Ovis aries: one gene and its partner. The protein of the gene in region 1 interacts with the protein of each later gene in a pairwise test. Links are inferred from orthologs where the notes say so. Each region holds a gene or a part of one and is shown on either strand. Other genes may lie near its edges.

The links.
Region 2: the proteins of TRIM38 (region 1) and RFC5 interact in binary tests that used the Homo sapiens proteins (3 or more experiments, as listed by UniProt). The link is inferred for Ovis aries from reciprocal best matches to the Homo sapiens genes TRIM38 and RFC5.

The regions. Positions count from the first base shown.
Region 1 is NC_056073.1:30,926,777-30,930,822, forward strand, and holds the start of TRIM38 (E3 ubiquitin-protein ligase TRIM38), read right to left. Parts: upstream 2,809-4,046; 5' UTR 2,729-2,808; intron 2,604-2,728; 5' UTR 2,574-2,603; exon of another isoform or gene 2,569-2,573; intron 1,390-2,568; 5' UTR 1,245-1,389; coding exon 846-1,244; intron 1-845. UniProt on the Homo sapiens protein: E3 ubiquitin-protein and E3 SUMO-protein ligase that acts as a regulator of innate immunity. Acts as a negative regulator of type I interferon IFN-beta production by catalyzing 'Lys-48'-linked polyubiquitination of AZI2/NAP1, leading to its degradation.
Region 2 is NC_056070.1:57,206,529-57,210,696, forward strand, and holds the start of RFC5 (replication factor C subunit 5), read right to left. Parts: upstream 2,805-4,168; 5' UTR 2,700-2,804; coding exon 2,638-2,699; intron 1,171-2,637; coding exon 1,106-1,170; intron 842-1,105; coding exon 705-841; intron 1-704. UniProt on the Homo sapiens protein: Subunit of the replication factor C (RFC) complex which acts during elongation of primed DNA templates by DNA polymerases delta and epsilon, and is necessary for ATP-dependent loading of proliferating cell nuclear antigen (PCNA) onto primed DNA.

The DNA.
Region 1 (4,046 bases):
TCCTTCCACTCACACTCTTTCCTGAATCTGGCTTAGAACTGATCTCTTTCCACTTCTCACAGGAATAATCTGAATTTTACTACTTAGTATTCCTTTCATTGTATCAGTACCAGAATGTTCTTTTCATTGTTAGCCCGATCTTTCACTCTGCAAATGAAAATCCCCCCATGGCCAGGACTACTCTGGGCTAGGATGCAGACCTGATTTTCATTCCCGTAACATCACCTGCCTCCCCTGCATACCCCCCGGCCTAGTCATAGCAAGTCAGGTATGCTCCCATGGCTGTGCTTTTGCACATGTGGTCCCCTCTGTCTGGAATGTCCTCTCCCTTCTCCATACTTCTATTAATATATTTGGTTAATTTTTATGTATTCTTCAAGAGTCATTCTTGGGAAGATTCCTTAGTTACTACTCCACACCCCTTAGGGCTCTGCTCCACCATCCAAATCAGGGGACTCCAGGCAGCCTGTTTGCGGATTTGTCTTTCCTATTAGACTGTAAGACATCTAAGGTGGTGTGTCTTTGACCCCTGTGTTTTCAGACTCTTTCCCATGGTCTTGCATATTGTTGTTTCTCAAATTACACACATGGTATGAAGCAATAAAACATGCAGGTGTGCACATGGCATTCTAAAGCAGGGAGGAGTTCATCAGAGCCAGAAAGGATAGGGACAAAAGTAACCTTTGGGACTTGATTTAGTGAGGACCCATCATTCTACTTTTCAGATGAATGACAGGATATAGGATTTCAGGATCCTAATCTTGGGTTTCAGGCCAAAGAATCTCAGGTCTCAGGGGGCAATATGAGGCCAAGTACTTGCCGAAGCCCTGTGGGCCACCACTCACCCTGTAGCCTTGGCATGCTTCTTCCACCAGAGCTGTGGCATGCCCTTTGTGCTGGGCTCCACGATCACAGAGCCAGCAGATAAGCTGGCCCTCGTCTTCACAGAACAGGTGGAGCTTCTCTCCATGTTCCTCACATGACATTTCCTGGTCCATCTCCTTGATGACTTCGATGAGATTTCCCAGCTGCTTGTTGGGCCGGAGGCTCTCCATGTTAAATGGTGCTCGACACTGGGGACAGGAGAATGTCTTCAGCCATGGTTGCATCTGGTAGAGGTTCTCAAAGAAGCTCACTATGCACGCGTGGCAGTAGCTGTGTCCACAGCTGATGCTCACTGCGTTAGTCATCAGGTGCAGGCAGATGGAGCAGGTGGCTTCCTCCCTCATCTTCTTTGAGGCCATGGTTTCTCCTGTAAAGCTCCAATATTGAATCTAGACACAGAGATGAAGTAATCAGAATTTTCCCACAGTGATGGAACTTTACCTCTCCTGAGTCTCTGTGCAATGCACTGGTTGCCACTGGTTTCAACAGGTCATGGAGTCTGCTCTAGAGAGAGAAGAAATAGGTTGGAATTTAGACGATGCATTGAATGTAGCTGTGTTGTGGAATATGGTCATGACTATTACATGTGGCCACTTTAATTACAATTAAATAGAATTTAAAATTCTATTTCTCGCACCTCTTAGCCATATTTAAATTGCTTAATAGCTCCAGGTGATTGGTAGCTATATGAAAGCCCCGATGGAGAACATTCCATCATTGTAAGTTTTCACTGAGAGAGGGAGAGAAACCAAGCTGACTTCCTCAACCAAAGCTGCAGCAAGAGAGAGAACTCAGTGAGGGACTGTTAAAGTTTTTCTCCCTCTAATGAACATCAAGAATAATTAGTACCAGAATTGTTTCTTTGTAAGTGGTAGTAACACTTAGGTAAAGGGGTGGTCTATTAAGGATTTGATTGAGACAATCAAATTTGACTCTAATTAAACCCTCACTCCTGCCCCACAAAGAACAAAAGACACCATAATAAAGTCCCTAGTGGAAACCTAACTGGATGATAATGAAAGCAAAAAAGACAACCAGAAGAACAAGTAAAGAAATCAAGTTCTTTTCCCCGCTCCCTGACCTGAGGAAAAAAGAGCTGGGAAGAGAAGGGGAGCAGAACTCCTTGACAGCTAGGGAGGTGACTCTCTTCTCCAAGCAGGACCTGTGTCTCAGGAGAAGTTCAGAGTGACTGGAACACAGGGAGTTTGCAGAATCCAGGATAGGGGAAGGTGAGAAGCAGATGGGAAAGCAGGGCCTCTCAACCCTGAGGGCTTAACCCCTAGGGACCTGACAACCAATAGACAAAGGAGTCGACCCTCTCACCCACAGCTTAGACTGCTTTGGGAACCTGGCTCAGTTCCCTGCTTCCTCATTCCTGGGAGTTTGTCGGGGAGGGCAGCAGAGGATGAAGGAAGTTGAGAGTGGCCTTTCCTTTGAACTGACAGGGCCAGAATCAAAAGCAAGGATTCAACTAAAGTTACTGGATAGGCTATGTCCCTCTAATAACCAGGACCAGTCTCTTGGATCCAAAGAGAATTTCTTCTGGAGATTTCTGTTCTTTGGCAGGTTATCTCCCCCAAGCGATACACTAGGCTCCTCTCTGCCACTGGTGCTGTGCTCCTAGGGAAGGAGGACCTCCCCTCCTCTGAGCCCCCAGGGCGCCTGTCCTGGACCTTCACTCACCTCACCTTCTGTACTTCAGAGATTTAACATGGAGTCTGGCGAAAAAGAAAGCAGACCCTGTGTGAGAGCCATGAAACAAAGACCCGGCTACCCCATCCCCTCCTCCAACACACATCTCCTATCCCTCCGTGGAGAAAACATGAGAAAACATGGGTCTGACCTTTTCCACTCCCTTCTCCACACAGCAGACAGTCACATACTCGCGCTAGTTCGCTCCGTAGCTGCTGGTTCCTGAGGTCTGGGTGAGGAAGTTAACTACAAACAAAAGTGAAACTACTTCAGAAGGCGGGGCCCTATAAGATCCGGGGAGGAAACTGGTGAAATGGCCCGTATCTTTTGCACTCAGCTTGTACTGAAAGGGAGGGAAGATGGTAGGAAAAATATTTTTCTTTTACAGCAATAAAAAGAAGGAACAAACTAATAATTTTGTTTTGATAACCCAAGTGATATGAAATTTCATCCCGAATATGTATAAAAATTGGCCTCTTGTTACAACTTACCAGGGTCTATTACTCTCTTTCTTTTTCTTTTCTTTGCACCCTCCTCAGCACCAGAGTTCTCAGAGCTCTTTCAGTTTCCAGGAGGTGAAATGGGTTTACTTCTAGTTCACCTTTATCACCCTTTGGGATCTCAGTTTTATTGGTGGTAGTGGAGGTGTCTTCTTTTAGACATATCACCTTTGCAGGATCTGGGCTTTGATTTTAGACTATCTTTATTTTCTAATGTAAACAGTTTAAGCTATACATTTCCCTGTAGGCACTGTTTAGTTGCCTCTCACAAAGTTATATATGCCTTATTCTATAGTTCAAATATATTATAATTTTTATTATGATTTTTACATGGTAGATTAATTTAGAAGCATGTTGCTTAATTTCCACAAATTGGGGGCTTATGTGATCTTAGTTCCCTGACCAGGGTTGGAACCCAGGCCCTGGCAGTGAAAGCACTGGAATCCTAACTGCTGGACTGCCAGGGAATTCCCAAGACAACATATGCTATCTGATTTAAATTCCTCTAACTTTATTGACTTGTACAGTGGCCTAGAACATGTCTATCATTATGACTATAACCATATGTACTTGAAAAGAATGTGGATGCAGATATTCAGTATAATTCAGTATAATGTTCTTTAAATACCAATTTGTTCAAGGTGATAGATAGGGTTTTTCAGTCTTATGTGACTTTTTAGATGTTTTATCTAGTTATTATATCACTACTGAAAGAAAGGTATTAAAATCTCCAACTAGGATTATAGAATTGCTTATTTTTCCCTTTAATTCTTTCCATTTTTGCATCATGTATTTTGAAGGCTTGTCATTAAGCTCATACACATTTATGATTACGTTTTCTTGATGAAAAAACGGACCCTTTTATCAGTACAGAACGGTACTCTTTATCTCTGGAAATGCTCTCTGTCTTAAACTCTATTTTTTATTAATATAGACACTCCATTCTTTTTATGCTTACTGTTTGCATAA
Region 2 (4,168 bases), on another chromosome or scaffold:
ATTTTTTTTCTTAACAATAGACAATATTTAGAATTTCATAATCTAAGTGGATCAGTCGTGTCCCAGCAGTAAACAGCACACTCAAATTCGGTAATTTGAAGAGAATTAAATGAAGAGATATTTTCAAAGGTGCTCGTGAGGTGTGGGAGAAACCACAAGAGCTATGCAATACCTTATGGGCTACTGGGGCCCATTACCACTCTCAAGTCTTAAGGGGTTGTTGGGGGAGTGATGCTGGCTCCTGGGGAATGCTGGGTGCTGTGCCCTGTGGGTGGGGACACTGTCCGTCTGTGGTGACCCAGGGCTGGACCAGGCATCATTTTTCCCCCAACTCCTGGCCAAACCCAATAGGAGCCAGAGGGCAAGGGAGCTTGTCGGCAACACCGCCCAGTCTTCTGGGACAAGAACAGTGTGGAGCAACATGGAGAAGGGCACATGGGATACAGCTAGCAACCAAGTGACCCCTGAGTGTTTGAGTAAAAGCTGGCAAAAGCAAACAAAAACACCTGGCCCTACCACTGCCCTCTAGCTACACCCAAAATCTCCAGGCAAAAATGTCAATTATAGGAAAAGTGAATTGAAATATTGTATATCTGCTTCTTTCCCAACCACCAGCAGGGCAACTAAGTTGGAAAACAAAACTAGCAGAACTAAAAATAAGAAACCAGAGTCCGTTGAAAGTTAAGGGTAATCCTCTCATTTACCTCCAAGACCATGGAGCCAAATTCCTTATCTTTGTACAGCTGTTTAGCACAGGCCAGGATGGTGGATGTCTTTCCTGTCCCTGGAGGACCATACAGAAGGAGGTGCGGCAGGCGGTCCTCACTGATAAACTTCTGAACTGAAGATGGGGGGAGAAAGACAGATGCTATCAGTCTCAGTCGCCTCATTCACCGCGGGCCAGAGTTGGGCTGAGTCTACTTCACATCTGTGTTCAAATCCAGGGCACGGGCAGGAATGAAACATCTGAAGGATGCAGCTGTCAGAGCCACATCCCAAAAGCTTAGTCAGATTCTTTAAGGTTATCACAGCAGAGACCACATCCCTAAGCAATGTATCCAGGTTCTTCAACTAGGATACCAGCCACTGACACAGGGATACTTACTAGTACTCAAGATGTCCTGATGAGAAATGAGATCATCCAGTGTCTGTGGCCGGTATTTTTCAACCCTAAAATACAATGTAGCATGCATTACAACATATATAAAGGCCAGAATATTTTGTTAGGTGCAGAAGAGTCCTTTCATACATATCCTAACTAAAAGAAGAGAGATACAAAAACCTCTAACCCAGTGGTTCTCAATTGGGGCAATTCTGTCCTCCAGTGAACTCTTGATAATATCTACAGACTTTTCCCCTGTCAAAACTGGGTGGAAGGTGCTACTGGCATCTAGTGGATAGTCATCAGGGAAGTTATTAAACATTATGAAATGCACAGGCTAACCCCTGTGGCCACGCCCCCCTGAAAAACTGCTCTCATTTCACCTTTCCAGCTATCTGCCTATAATCTCAACCTGGATGGGCACCTAACGTTAATCCAAAATTGAACCTGTATCCAAATATAAATTAACAGATGAATGGATCAATAAATGGTGGTATAGCCATACAGTGGAATGTTACTGGCAATAAAAGGACATGAACTGCTGATCTAAGAAGCCAGTCATGAAAGGCTACATATTGTATGATTCAAGTTACATGAAATATCCAGAATAGGCAAATTCATAGAGACAGTAAGTAGATGAGTGGTTGCCAGGAGCTGAGGGAGAGGGGAATGGGGAGTGACTGCCAATAGGTATATTGTTTCCATTTGAGGTATATGAAAAACTTTGCAACTAGATAGTGGATGATCACACAACATTCTGAATGCACTACAAAATCGCTACAACTGTAAATTGTATGTTATATATTTTTACTATAGTAACAACAAACCGAACTCATTATCTTGAAAACTTTTGAAAAGAAATAAGTTTTTCAAAATCAAGCCAAATCCTATCAGTCTTTAAAACAACAGTAAGACACAGTTGTGGAAGCAGACTGGCTAAGAATGCAAGCTCTGAATGTGGACCACCTGGGTTCAAATCCAAACCTATTTTCCAACTCTAGACCTTAAGCAAGTCATTTAACCTTTTGGTAAAGCTGGAATAACAGTATCTTCTTCCCAGGGTCTTTGCAAAATTCCAACATCTAATAGGGTGCGTGTAACAAAGTCACTGAAATATAAGTTAACTAGGAAGTGCTGTCATCATCATTATCATTATTCTAGCTTAGAATGTGACCAGTAATCGCACCGAGAGAAGAGACTATTTTGTCAAGAGAATATTCTGCCACAGAGGCCAAGGCAATGTCAGAAGACATGGGATCGAACCCATGTTGTCACCCAAGTGGGGAAGCCGTTTTCCTCTTCCGCAACAGGAAAGGGGGCCCTGGGTTACGGGTGAAGGGAGACCTAGCCAGTTATAAATAGAATGGAGCAGGACTGGGGAGTTGAGGGCAGGTGAACTTCTGTGGCTCCACCCCGGCCTCAAGTCCGGGGACTGCGGGGCGAGGTCGGGCTGGAGACTGGCCACTTGTTCACTCGGGCCACCGCCTCCGCGCGCGGCCGATCCCCTTCCCCGCAGCAGCCAGGCCCCCTCCTACCAGGGCAGGTTTCTGATCTTGGCCGCCTCAGGCTGCTGCTGCTTGTGCGCTGAGGTCTCCATAATGATGATGGTGATGATGGTGGCCGGTGGGCTTGTCGCGTTTCCCAGAGGCCCGAACCTCGCCAACAGCCACAACCAGACCCCGGGACCCTCGCACTTAGAGTTAGCGCGCAAACGCAACTCTCGCGAGATTTAGCGGCCATCGGACTTCCTCCCTAGGTCCCGCCCCCTCCCCGTTGCTAAGGCCCTGTTGCCTGGTTGCCGGCAGGCCCGGGCGGACGCCTCGCCCCAGCTCCGCCCTTTTCTAGCTGGATCTCCCCTCTCTGGTGTAGACCAGAGTCCTGAACCCAGAGGGAGCGCGCGCCTGAGAGGCACGGCCACCCCGTACAGCCACCAATCATCATTACAAATTAAAGTCTCACGGCCAAAGCCAATTCCAGTCGTCACCAGAGTTATAGCTGTTACCCTTCAAGGGAACAGAAAGCGGCCAGCGCTAAAAAATTCTGAGGTAAAACAACCCGAAATGACATGACCAGTTCTTGAATACAGATACCATAAAAAACAAGGCTTGAAATACTTTTTGCCCCCAAAGCTAGGAGGTGAGCACTTCAAACTGAAAAACAACTCCAAGCACAACTCCAACTTCAGTCTGTCTCTCAAATCTATGCCCCTCACCCAACAAAATTTACAGAACGACCTCCAGAAACAACTCCAGAGAGGAAAAAGTAAATAATAAGTAACTTCCCTCCAGGTTAATATGTGTAACTGGAAAGGGCTAGTTAGTAAGCGAAGAGGACAGGGTCCCTCTGACGTGAAGCTGCTGAGGAGAATTGGTATCAAAATGTTAGTATTTTTTTTCTGAGGTAAGGGGATTATGAACCACTTATGTTTTCTATTTTGCTGGTCTGTAGTTCCCAGCAATAAGTGTGTATTATATCCGTAATAAAGTTTGGCTGTTGTTTTGGCTGCGCTGGGTTTTAGTTGGGGCGCGCAGTATCACGCGAGATTTTCATTGCCGCCTGTTGGATCATTGTTACAGCACACGGTCTCTTCACTGTGGCATGTGGAATTTAGTTCCCTGACCAGGAATGGAAGCCAGGCCCCTGCTTTGAAGGCTCGGATTCTTACCTACTGGATCACCAGAGAAGTCCCTGCTTTTTGTTTGTTGGTTGTTGGTTTTTTTTTTTTTGCCATGCTGAGAAAGACAACAATCCTGAGAGGAGATGAGGCTGACCCAGGATTACAAGTGTTCTGATTTAGAAGTAGCTGCTCCTTGCCTCCTACTACCACACTGTCACCCATTTTAGGAGTAGAATAGAGGGACAGAGGGCAAATATAAAATGACAGTTATGGCTTCACCCTGGTCCCTTCCTGGGGAGTCAGAAGGGGGTCAGATGGGGCTGTGATATGACAATGTCCATCTGTCTGACTTACTTCATTTAGTATAATGACCTTATTCTTTATCATATGGATATCCAGTTTTTCCAACATTATTTTTTGTAGAAACTATCCAATGAGTATTGTGTTCT